2 linked regions of the Mus musculus genome follow. The protein of the gene in region 1 interacts with the protein of each later gene in a pairwise test. Links are inferred from orthologs where the notes say so. Each region holds a gene or a part of one and is shown on either strand. Other genes may lie near its edges.

What was found. The genes of interacting proteins can lie anywhere in the genome.
Region 2: the proteins of Egfr (region 1) and Sparcl1 interact in a protein complementation assay, tested with the Homo sapiens proteins (2 studies listed by BioGRID and IntAct). The link is inferred for Mus musculus from reciprocal best matches to the Homo sapiens genes EGFR and SPARCL1.

What each region holds. Positions count from the first base shown.
Region 1 is NC_000077.6:16,749,861-16,756,532, reverse strand, and holds the start of Egfr (epidermal growth factor receptor isoform 1 precursor), read right to left. Parts: upstream 4,331-6,672; 5' UTR 4,051-4,330; coding exon 3,963-4,050; intron 1-3,962. UniProt on the Homo sapiens protein: Receptor tyrosine kinase binding ligands of the EGF family and activating several signaling cascades to convert extracellular cues into appropriate cellular responses.
Region 2 is NC_000071.6:104,088,993-104,094,968, forward strand, and holds part of Sparcl1 (SPARC-like protein 1 precursor), read right to left. Parts: intron 5,776-5,976; coding exon 5,647-5,775; intron 4,382-5,646; coding exon 3,386-4,381; intron 1,470-3,385; coding exon 1,400-1,469; intron 727-1,399; coding exon 608-726; intron 1-607.

The DNA of each region.
Region 1 (6,672 bases):
AGTCTCTTTTTCCCAAATGATTTTTCCATTTGGGGATTTTCTTTGTCTCTTCCTCAGGTAGAATTAAAAGCAAAACTCTGTCTTATAAAGTATCCCTTTCCCATGCAGATCTTCCATTTCTTCTATGACTCTGTCTTATGATCTTTCACTAGGTCTTCTAATAAATAACTTTTAGACACTTCAAGGGAGGTATCAAGACCAACTCATTCTCATATCTCAAAACATAGACAGCATGGCACAAATTATGCATCATGGCTCAAATACAAAGAAAAGGATAAAAAAATAGTTCAATGCCTGGCCTTATATTCAAAAGGCAAACAATAGTGATTAACTTACATAATTATATAAAGCAGCTTATGTGTGGGGACTCCTCAGTAACAATGAAATTGCAGAGATATTTAGGGATAAAAAAAAAATGTTCCAAAACTTTAAGTTTAGCCTTTTGTTGATGAAAAGTTGAACAGAGTTAGAAAAGGGTACTTGGAATCTAGGTCTGTTGGAAAGAAATCACCCAGAAGTGTAAACATGAAAGAAGGGCCCCCTGTGATAATTCCCATATAGCTTTTAAAGCAAGCTGCTTGAACTGCTAAGATTGAAAGCCATTCTTAGCATACACGTTTCACAGATAGCCCGTCAAAAGGACCAGACATTTTGGTAGTGATAGAGCCTTCAGAGATTAAGATATCAAATCCAGCACCTTTTTTTCCTTTTAGAAAAGTTATGACTTATGAGGCTAAGTAAATAAAGCCAACGGAAGCTGTTGAGTCTATTGGTGTCACCACCTGACTTCAGATAACATCATGTCCTACCACTGGGAATGTGCACCGTAAGAAAGTCAGTCGGAGTACTAGTCTGTTTTACATATTTGAAAAGCAGATTACCAATGTTTAACTAGTGGTTTCAAGAACTACATATGTTTGGAAGCAATAATATAATCATTAAGATCCCCCTTTAAACTCATAATGTCTGCCACATCTTAGACAAGCAATAAACATTTACTGAATCTAGAAAGGAGACTTCAGAAGCCTGGAGTTCCAGTGGGACTTTCCATCTAATCTAGACCTGGAATGAAAACATAAGCTTCTTGGATAGAAAGCCAGTACTGGGCTTCCCAAGACCCAGTCTTCTGAGAGACAGACAGACAGACAGACAGACAGACAGACAGACAGTCTTGAGAAGCCTTTGGAATCCCCTTCAAGTTGGTTCCACCTCCAAACTCCACTGCCTTATTCAGGCTGAGGGTCCCTTCTCTCCTCATTTGCTCTGCACAGGATCTTTTCCAAAGAAGCGCCTTCTCCTGCCATCATGGTACAGGTGGAACTTGCTCAGCAAGTCCAAGCTAATACCTTGCCCATATTTTGTTTTAGTGACAACATTGCCCCCATCAAAGGCAACCCAGGAGACCACAGCATCCATGAACAGGAAAGTAGGCCACTAAACAAGCAAGCTTCAGATGGGGACTGATTTTTCAAATGCCTGTTTCCTGGTCCTTATCCTTCTAGCATCAGAACTGAGTCATTTACACACCTAACCTAGCCTGGTCCTCCTACAATAAGGTAGTGTAGTTTGGAGGTGGAAGGAACTTGAATCAATTTTGGCATCACTTCTTAACAGCTATGGGGGAAAATCACTACACTTCTCTGTGCATAGGTTCCCCAAACAGATGATGAGAATCACCTCTCACTACATGCAATGTGAGGACTGACAATGCACTGAAAACAGAGTCTAACTGTCTTCTGCTTTGATGACATTTACATATGGTACCATAGATTTGGAGGGAAGGATAAACACCCTACCTCAACTAAGGGAGCCAGTCTGGAACAAAACTGACCAATTAAACAAACAAATCTTTTATCAGCCTGTTGCAGAAAGGGTGTCTCACGTTTTCAATAATCTGTCCTTTAGAACTTAGCCTTTTTACGTTACTTTGACAGATAAATATTTGCTTGCTACCTTTCCTGCTACACCCAGAAGCATTTGGCTTTAAGTGAATATCATACAAACAGACAGATGAAGTGGCATTTTTATTTAACCGAAAACAAATCTCCAACCACTAACAGTGTTCATAACAGTAACACCTAACAGCGAAGAAACACAGAGTTAAGCTGAGACAACTGGTGTTCTACAGGGGCTCTAAGGGAAACTGAAAACTAGGGGAGGGAGTCCTATGGGTAGGCACAGATGCCAGGCAACTGACCGATGGGGCCTGGAGCCCTTCAGCTAAGGAAGGTAGGAGAAAAGCTCCACAGTGCTCCATCCCATCTGTGAAAAAAGCAAGCCCTCTTTACCGACTTTATCCCTGCTATTTCCTGTACTGCAAGATTTCCCAGACTCCTGCTCGTTAGAACCGTCGTGGTAGTCTTCCTTTAGATGTTATCAATTTTTCATTTATGCTAGCGAGTCTCAAATCAAATGCTACAAGAGTTTTGAAAATTCTAATTCTCAAGATCGACCCGTGAAATCTGAGTGTATGGAGTGGTAGCTAAACAACGGAGGAGGGGTGTAGTTTGTTTTGCTTGTTGATTTTTAAACCCAAATGATTTCATTGTGTAGTTAAGTTTGGGAAACTGAGCCTTACACCCCCTCCAACAAAAGTGCACGGAGCACCAACCCCCAAGTCCAACTTGGATGCGGATGACATCAACAGCAAGTGCAGACCTGACTCCTGGAACCCGAGCGGCTGGATTTTGAAATTGTGCAATTAAACCTTCCGAGGCATGTTTCTCGTGTCAAGTGGGTTTATGGTCGGATAGTCATGAAGCCAGACTTGTTCATGTTCCGTCTGGACAGTTGGCATGTGTGATCCATGGACATCAATGTTTCTTTTTAATTAGGGGTTATATTTTAGTTGGCCAAATATCAATCACTTGGGGGGGGGGAGGGGTGTGGAAGGAAAGAAAAGAAAAAGAAACCCAAGAGGGAACGTCTCAGCTAACAAGTAAGAAAGTTTGCTACCGGCCTCATTTTGAAACACCAAGGGTGCACTACACCCAAGGGCCCAGCTGTCACAAGGAGGTCAGCCATCCATTGCAAAGGCAAGTGATGCTGCAGCAGCCCAAGCTTCTGGGAAAGGGCAAATTCAGGGATCCCAGGGGAAGTAGCCACCCCGCAACGCTAGCTCCAATCTGGCATGGAGCCTTGGTCCCCAACCAGTGCACCTAGCCTGGCAAGTCTCTGGCATGCTCTATGCCTAAGAGGCGGAATCGACCCACCCCACCCGCCACCCCCACGCCCTCCTTTTTTTTTTCCTAGTGAAGAAGCAAATGACCACTAACACCATCTCTTCCCAGAAGTCCTAGGTGGTTAGTGACAGAGAGATCTCCACACTTCCAGGTCATTGCTGCAACTACACACCCGCGAAAGGGCAAGCCAGAAATCTGCAAGCTACATTGGGACTCAGGCTACCAGGTCCTGAGAGTACCCTGCTGGAGAAGAGAGGAGTTGAGGGAAACCGCGCTCAGGAAACCGCGCGTCTCAGAGGTTCCGACCTTGACCAGGGGCGCGTTGGTTCGCACTCCAGTCCCTCAACTCTCACACTGAGCGGGTGGGACACACCCGACCCGCTTGAGGATCCGGGGTCCCTCCGCTCTCCCTGACAGTACTGGGCGCACGTGCGCCAATGCCCGGCGTCCCGCGCTGTCCCGCACCACGTTTCTGCTCCGAACGCCTACTGAGCGCAGGAAAGTGAGGCAACTAAGTTGGCAGCAGTCAAGAGCCCCGGAGCGCACAGCCGCGGCTCCCACGCTGCCCTGGCAGCCCCTCTGCTCCTAGCCCAGTCTCCCTTCCTTCGGCGGCCCCAGTCTCGCCCATTCCAGACTCCGTCCAGTTCCTCCTATGGTCCCGGCCGCCTTTGGGAGCCAGAAGAGGAGGAGCGGGCGGCTGGGGACTTAGAGTCCCGAGCGGAGGTTGGGACTGGGCGAGCTAGCTCGCAGGGGGCGCGGGCCGGTGGGACACGCCCTTACCTTTCTTTTCCTCCAACGCCCCACCTGCGGCGCAGAGCGCGGTCAGCAACACCAGCAGTGTGGTTCTCGCGGTCCCTGAGGGTCGCATCTCTGACCGGGAGAGGTTGGCTCTGGCTCTCCGGGATTAATCCGAGACAGACGGAGTCCCACGGTTGTGCCCAGTGACTGCGCCGGCAACGACGAGACCCGGACACAGGCTCGCGTCCAGGTGACCTGTCGTCTGTCTGGGAGGCGGTAGCCTCCGGGACTCGATCCAGACGCCCTAGCCCAGGAGGAGCGCACAGTGCGGGAAGAAGAGGAGGGAGGCTGCTGCGCGTTGCGCTGGGGCTGCCCAGACGTCTAGTTAGCTCGGGTCGGGACTGGGGGAGGCTGGGCGGGAGGAGGAGGGACTAAAGAAGGAGGAGGGATCCAGAGGAGCGAAGAGGAGGAGAATGTCAGGAGAGAGGAAGCGCTCTCCGCGAGGATCGAAAGCAGGCAGTGACCGGAAGGTGGTGGTGGATGGCCTTGGCCACCACTAGACAAGGCTCTGGGGGCGAGTTCTGGCTGTGTGCAGCGGGTCAGTGGGTGGCCTTTGGAGTTAATTTCTGAGGGGACTCCGCTCCGCTGCATTTCAGGACCTAGGAAGTCCAGCCAATCTATGCCAGGGTCCCCTCCTTCCTTCCCTCTGTCTCCCACCTTCTTCCTTCCTTTCTTTCAATTAACCAAACAACTCTGGACCACCTCGGTTACAAACTGTCCAACCACAGAGCACAGGTTGGAGAATAACACAGGTGGGGACGCTGTTCACGTATTCTCCATAACTTCTCCAGGATCTCAGAAGGGTCAGGCTGACTTGGCAGCAGTTTCCAACAGCACAGGCAGAGGCGGGTGCCTCAAGTCTGAAGTGGCACTAAGAAGTCCAAGGGTCCTTCAGATCCCATCAAGAACCCTCCATGTCTTCTGAAAGAAGGGCAGCCAACTCCTGACACTTAGAAGGGCCTCAGTATATTTGCTGGATGAAAGCATGCATGTTGAAGAACATGGCATTTTCTACACCTGGAGCCAGTCTGGAGTGCTTGAAAAGCAAAGCAACGTACACATGAGGCAAATTCCTCCACAAAAGCAGAGACTTGACATAACAGCAGTGAACAAATCTTTAGAGCAGTTAGCATCCTCTAGTGACCTCAGCTAGCCCTGCCGCACATCAGGAGGCAAATTGCCAAGTAAGTTCACTTAGAATTTGACCAGTAGAAATGTGTCCCTGAACTTCAGGACCCACAACTAAATTCCTTCAGCAAAGACCAACCAATGTCCCTACTTCTTAGCTATCAGAGGAATGTCCCCTGCTTCCATTCAATCCAAAGTCTCTGAGTTTTTCACAAAATCACTTGGTCCCCTAATTTAGGCCCCTTTGCTGTGGGTGTCCTTGTTAGCAGAAGTCATGGCTAACCAGTGAGGCTCAGTCCAGCTTTTTCCATGCAGCCAGAAAGGAGGCATTCCGGACTTTTCGTCCGCACCCTGCAAAGTCAGGGCTGCTGCCCAAGTTTTGTAGGTGGCGTCTTGAATGGGAACACGTCACCCAGCCTGTGCAGGGACCCTCATCACAACCTGAGACCTTCACTGAGAAGTAGAGCGGGGTTTCTTAAACTTTTCCCACGGGCAACCTCTTTTCATAGATGCTTTTTATGTAATCTTGGGATTTTATATAAAATAGGTGTTCAAATCAGACATCGACTAATGGTAGATCCTAATGCAATGTTAAGATAATTTTTGGCATATATATGACTTTACCACTTACTAAAGATTAAGGCAAATTTGCATACCAATGAGATTGATTTGTTTATTGTTACAAAAAATTAGGTTTTGAATGAGTACTTGAAGCTGTGGAATGTAGAACATCTGTAATATTGTTCAGAGTTAATTAATATTTTGATTTACAATTCTCAAAGCATGAAACAGAAAAAATATATTTAGGGTCATCTTGGAAATTTCATCCTAATCCTATGTTAAAATTCTGTTACCTTTTTATAAAGAGACTTAAGACATTGATTTTAAATATTAAACATTCAAACACAATATAATCCAAACATAACCAAACATACTCATTTGAAGCTCCTATGCTAAGGAATGATGGTAGGAGAATATTAAAAATGTCTTGTTCTCTGTATTATGACATTATTATTCTATAAGAGAAGACAATTGTATGTGATAAGTAAAACTTTTGCAGCCATACCATATGGTAGTCTTGCATCTGAACTGAGTTTCGATGCAGCACTTCTTGGTACTCCACGGTGTAACAGCATGCACAGAGCAAAGAGTGAATAATGTGTGTATAGAAGCAAGACCACTGTGAAGTGCAATGCAGCACTGTGAAGCTCTGCCAGAAACACCTTAGTGTGTTTAGAATTTCTGGATTAAACTTTTATTATTGCACATTCAGAAAAATTTTACTGTTTCCGAGATTTTTGTACCTACTTCCCAGGGACATATGTGGGAGGGGAGCTTAGGTGTCAGTTTTCTGCTGTATGTTCCAAATAGGAACTTAGGGCAGTTTTTAAAGTAATACAATAATAAGGGGTGATTAGAAAAAGCCAAGCAAGAAATATAACAGTAGAACACAAAATGAAGATGGAGATGAGTTTTTTTTTAATTTTTTTTTAAGATTTATTTACTTATTATATGAAAGTACACTGTAGCCGTCTTCAGACACTCCAGAAGAGGGAGTCAGATC
Region 2 (5,976 bases), on another chromosome or scaffold:
TGGTGGGCGGGTCTTAGACTGCTGGTGGGCGGGTCTTAGACTGCTGGTGGGCGGGTCTTATACTGCTGGTGGGCGGATCTTATACTGCTGGTGGGCGGGTCTTAGAGTGCTAGTGGGCGGGTCTTAGACTGCTGGTGGGCAGGGCTTAGGCTGCTGGTGGGAGGGACATACGCTGATGGGGGAGAAGTTCTCTTTGATCTCTCCCCACCTTATTTGCTAAGGCAGACTCTCTCAGTTGAACGCAGAGCTCATCTATACCACTAGTCTTCCCAGTCAGCTTTTTCCAGTAAGTCCCATCTCTGCCTTCTAAGTGTCCCTGAGTTACCACTCCCACCTAGCAGTTATGTGGGTTCTGGGAATCCCACCTCCCATCCTTAGACCTACACGGAAGGCTTTCCCCACTGGGCCATCTCCTCGGCCCCACTCTTCATTTTTTATGGCACAGTTGAAGTACTTTGATTTCTGTGGTATCTGTTCCCTTTCAATATTGCTTCAAATTTTAAATAACTTGTGTCCCAACTCATAAAACAGATTCAATTGCAAACTATTTCTACTCGAGAAACTAGAGTTTTGGTGTATCTCGGGGACCATTTTTCAGAATACTTACCTGATCTAGGATTTTTGCAGGGGGACAAGTCTCTGGATCTTGGCAAACACAGTGAGGTTTCCCTTGTGGATCGGTTTTGCAAATGTGTCCCCTTTTACATTGGAAGTTCGTGCAAGAACCTAACAGGAAAGATTGGAAAGGGAACAGAGACACAGAGAAATTGTGTATTAAACACGCAGTCAAACAGACTGTTGGCATCATTGTAACAAAACAAGACAGGAAGTCAGATTCCAGAGAACAGGAGAGCAGGAAGATGCTGGGAACCACTTTAATTGATGTGCTAATCTGCAGATGGACTCTCTGGCATCAGACCTGTGCACAGGAGTTTAGACATCTTTTTACAACAGACTGGGTTGGAGCTGGAAGAGGGCCAGAGCTTTTCTTGGCTTGCCTGAGACCCTCAGAATCTCAGGTGTAGGAAACGAGGTGCAGAGAGGTCTGAAGATAAGCCAGGGAATTTAATTTACTGAGATTAAAGATGTTCATGGTTGGGAAGAATGGGTTTGAGAATAAGTAGCAGAATCAGTACTTCTCAGAGCTGAAAGTGGGGTGGGGTCTGGGGGTGGGGTGGGATATAGACCGCTTTGTATACAATCTCAACAGGTCTTTCAGTTTGTAAGCGTGATGACCCATAGTTTATCAAACATATATTAGAAATACCAACACTTTATGAACTATTTCCTTGGGGAGGCTGGGGACGTGGATTTCTGGGTCATAATGGAAGGGGTGCTAACCCAAATGGCAGACTCCATCCCTCCTGGACCAGCTGCAGCTCACACAGTGTCCACTCACCAGCACTGTGCTCCCTTGAGTTGCCCTCATCTGAAGGTTCAGCATTTGGTGAGCTCTCAGCTTTCTTGGCCTTTGAAAAGAGCAAGAGCAGAATTTCAGTGTTCTCAAGAGAGCAGTAATTTGTTTTCTCTCTTACTGTGTTCTGTGCATACCTCCATGGAGCCGTGCATACCTCTGCAGAAGTTGTGCCTAACACTACAGAGCTGTGTATACCTCCACAAAGCCCTGCATACCTCCACAGAGCCCTGCATGTTCAGATCTCAGTTGGGAAACCCCTGCAACTGCAGAGTGAGACAGTAACCCTTGGAGAGCAAGAGTCACCCCATGTGAGATAGGATCACCCCTTCAGAGTCGGGAGAGCGCTGTCTCCATGATATTATCTTGGGATTCTGTCCTGAGAATGGGGGGTCCATCAGTCACCTACATGGAGGTGTTTATAAAACTTTCTCAGCAGGTTTTGAGGTGTAAGACATTTTCTACCTTAGAATGGCAGGAGAGGTCTGAGGACTTGAGACTTCTTGCCACCCCAGACAGGGTCAGTTTCTATGGGGTGCTGCTAGGAAGTTGCCAGAAGGTCCAAGGTGATTAAACCACTAAAATCAAAGCAGAACCCTTTCTCCCTACTGTAACTTCTGCGTTTTCATCGGGGTGTGTGTTTGCGTAATAGTGCAGTACTTCTAATGTTTATGGTTAATTTTACAAATGTTGCTGTCTCTCTGAGTCAGTTGGGGGTTTTCTGAGAGACTCAGGGGCTCAGCGGGATCAGAGTGGCGCCTACTTTTGAGACAGCAGGCTCATTCTTCAGCTCTGTCAAAAATTCCAGCCAGCTCCAGGGACGGAGTTTTTGTGTGTTTTATTAATTAATTAATTAATTAATTTCGGAGACAGGGTTTATCTGAGTCCTGAAACCCACTCTGTACACGAGGCTGCCCTGAAACTCATTCTGTATCGCAGGCTGGCCTTGAACTCAGAGATCTGGCTGCCTCTGCCTCTGGAGTGCTGGGATCAAAGGCCTGCACAACCACCACCAGGCAGCTACAGGGATTTTTAATTCTACTGTCTGCATTTCTGCGCTCCCATAGCTGTAGACATCCACGTGGTCTGTTCAAAGGACAGGCTGGATGTGCTGGGGAGTTATGACCTCTCAGAAAGGGAGCAAGGCTCAGACAAAACAAGTGTGACAGCTCCCTCGCTCCCGAATGGAATAATGCTTAGAAGGGTTGTGTTTTGTTTTGTTTGTTATTTTATGAACTTAATGAGGGTCTCGTTGTTAGCTTCTTTTCCTTCCCTATGCAATGTTTAACATTTCTAGCTCTTTGTTTCTCATACTTCTCAAATAACTGTCACTCAAATTCAAGGTCACCTTCTAATGGGAGGCCACATAAAAACATGTTGTTTTCAGTCTAATGATGGAGGCAGGCAGAAAAAGATATAATTGTACAAGGTGAGAATCCATAATCTGAGTGCTTGAAATATGTAATTCTCCAAAATCCAACTACTGGTTGAGTGCTGACAGGTCACAGTTAAAAGAGACACATAAGCCGGGCGTGGTGGCGCACGCCTTTAATCCCAGCACTCAGGAGGCAGGGGCAGGCAGATTTCTGAGTTCGAGGCCAGCCTGGTCTACAAAGTGAGTTCCAGGACAGCCAGGGCTATACAGAAAAACCCTGTCTCAACCCCCCCCCCCCAAAAAAAGAGAGACACATAAAAATATCGTAAAAAATTACACATAAGTTATATACAACACATAGAGAGAGTGTGTAAAATGAAAAAATTTTGTGCTTAAACTTGGACTCTATTTTCCAGATATCTCGTTATGTACATGCAATCTCCAAATTTAAAAAAAAAACCAATCACAATGCTTTTGTTCTCAGTCACGTCAGATGAGGATGCTCACCCTGCCCTGTATTTTAGTAAGTCCTGCTATAAACACGCACACCAGGGTGCGGGGATGTGGGTAGCACAGCTAAGACTATTCTCGCTCACCTCTTGGTTGTCTGCAGCCTCCCTCCGGTTCTCACTCTCGCCAGTCGTTGTCTCCTCGCCGCCGCCATATTTGAGGTAATAGGAGAGGGAATGCATCCTTTCGGCCTCTAGGAATTCCTGGCTGGGGATGAAGTAGTCATCGCCTGCACCATGCTTAGAGTCATCCCCGCCCCCGTTATCACCAGCTCCTCCGTGACTCCTAGGCACCACGGCAGCATCGGTAGGTTCTGTGGAAACGGCCTTCTCATCAGTGTCCTTCTGGTTGCCAATAGCTTCAAGGCCAGCTTTCCCTTCTTGGTCCTGCTGCTCTGTATGTGGAATGTGTTCCTTGCTGCCTGCAGCCTTGTCCTCTCCTTCTGCCTCAGAGTCACTCTCCTGCCCTTGGTTTCCTTGCTCAGATTGATGCTTCTCTGTCTTGCTTATCTGAGTGGGCTGACTGGACTCTTCTAAGGTGTCATCAGATTGCTCTCTGTTTCCTTCCCACTTGCTGGTAGGCTGCTCCTCCAGAGGTTCTTTTCCCTCCTCTTGGTTATCACTGGGGGCACCAATGTCTTCCGGCTCTTCCTCTTCTTCCTCTTCTTCGTCCTCTTCTTCTTCCTCTTCTTCATTGGGAATGTCTGGATCTTGTGTCTGGCTTTCTTCAGCCTTTAAGTCTTGGGTTTGCTTGCTGCTTTCATTCGGTTGCTGGTGTGAGTCACTTACAGGTTGCTCCTGACTCTCCTTTCCCTTTGTGATGTTTGCGCGTTGGTTAGGATCCACATAGGAAGTGGACACGGTCGCGGGGAAATCGCCGTTCTCCGGGAGACTTTTCTGTTGAGGCTCACTTGTACCTTCTTGTAGATCCAGTGTTAGTGTTCCTTCCGTTGGATCTACACTTAAATCCCCATCTCCATCCTCCTCATCCTTCAGGTCCACCTCGAAGCTGTAGGTTTTGTCCTGCTCTGTTGACTGTTCATGAGTTTCCTCTTCTGAATTAAGTGCTGAAGGTTTTTCAGCCTTAAACAAAACAAATGACATGGTATTCTTATTTATCTCTACAAAGCTACCATTAAACATTCTTCCTGGGCTGGAGAGATGGCTCAGAAGTTAAGAGCACTGACTGCTCTTCCAAAGGTCCTGAGTTTAATTCCCAGCAACCACATGGTGGCTCACAACCATCCGTAATGGGATCTGATGCTCTCTTCTAGTGTGTCTGAAGACAGCTACAGTGTACTCATGTAAATAAAATAAATCTTAAAAAAAATTCTTCCTTCTGTTTCTTCAGACATTATCATGTGAACATATTTATGTTGTTCTTTCCATTCTAGAGCACAGGGTTAGCCTGAATTTGAATTTTGTAAAAGGAAATGGTTGTAGAGCACTTCACTGCAGCAAGTACACTATTAGTCACCATAACTTCTAGTGTTTACAGAGAATTTGTGTGATTATCGTACTTACAAAATGAAACTTAGAAATGAATATTGTTAGCATTCTTTTTTTGTTTGGTTTTTTTTTGTTTGTTTGTTTGTTTTTGAGGCAGGGTTTCTCTGTGTAGCCCTGGCTGTCCTGGAACTCACTCTGTAGACCAGGCTGGCCTAGAACTCAGAAATCTGCCTGCCCCTGCCTCCCAAATGCTGGGATTAAAGGTGTTTGCCACCACTGCCCGGCTATTGCTAGCATTCTGTCTAAACTCCACCCCACAGTTACCTGGCAACAGCCAGGTAGGCCTGACCCACTGTAAAAGGGACTGCTTGCCCCCCCCCTTACTCTTGCTTCTCTCTTGCCCTCTTGGGCTCTTCCATTCCCCCTCTCTCCACGTGGTCATGGCCAGCCTCTACTTCTCTTTGCTTCTCTTCGCTTCTCTTCGCTTCTCTTTGCTTCTCTTGGCCTCTCTCTCTCTCTCTCTCTCTCTCTCTCTCTCTCTCTCTTTCTCTCTCTCTCTCTCTCTCCCTTTCTCTGCCTCTACTACCCTCTTAACTCCCCTCCCCATTCCCTGAAAAACCTCTATTCTATACTATACCGCTTGTGGCTGGTTCCTCAGGGGGAAGGGATGCCTTGGCATGGCCCCCTGAGATAGCCCCTTCCCCACACCTCTCTACACTCCCATAGAACATATCCCTTATATTGCTTTATCTTTTCTACACTTGATCTTAACCAAAAGGCCGAGAAGCAATTTATCTTTTCATAAACACATCAAATATATTACCCTTGTAAGGATGCTTTGATACTGAATTCTCAGGGAAAATGATAAACGATGGCATTAATGTAACGATTATTTTTACCTTGTCACTGGGATGGTTTTCTATGTCTGCTGTAGCTTCAACCCCGGCAATGGGGACTGTAGCGTCTTCCGGTGTCACCAGTGTTGCAGTAGTTGGGTTGGAGTGGTCAGAGAGAAACCTTGTACTTGTCTGAAAAAGTGAAGACTTTATGTTGCTAATATATAGAAGCCAACTGAAAAAAAATCTGAGTTCTTGCTATTATCACCAGCACTGGGATCTATCTTCACTGATAACACTAATGAATGGTATTCTCTAGAATTTCCTAGGCTACAAGCAAATGTCTGAAATATACTAAAAGATTATAGTCAAGTTTATGAAAGGTTTTATATT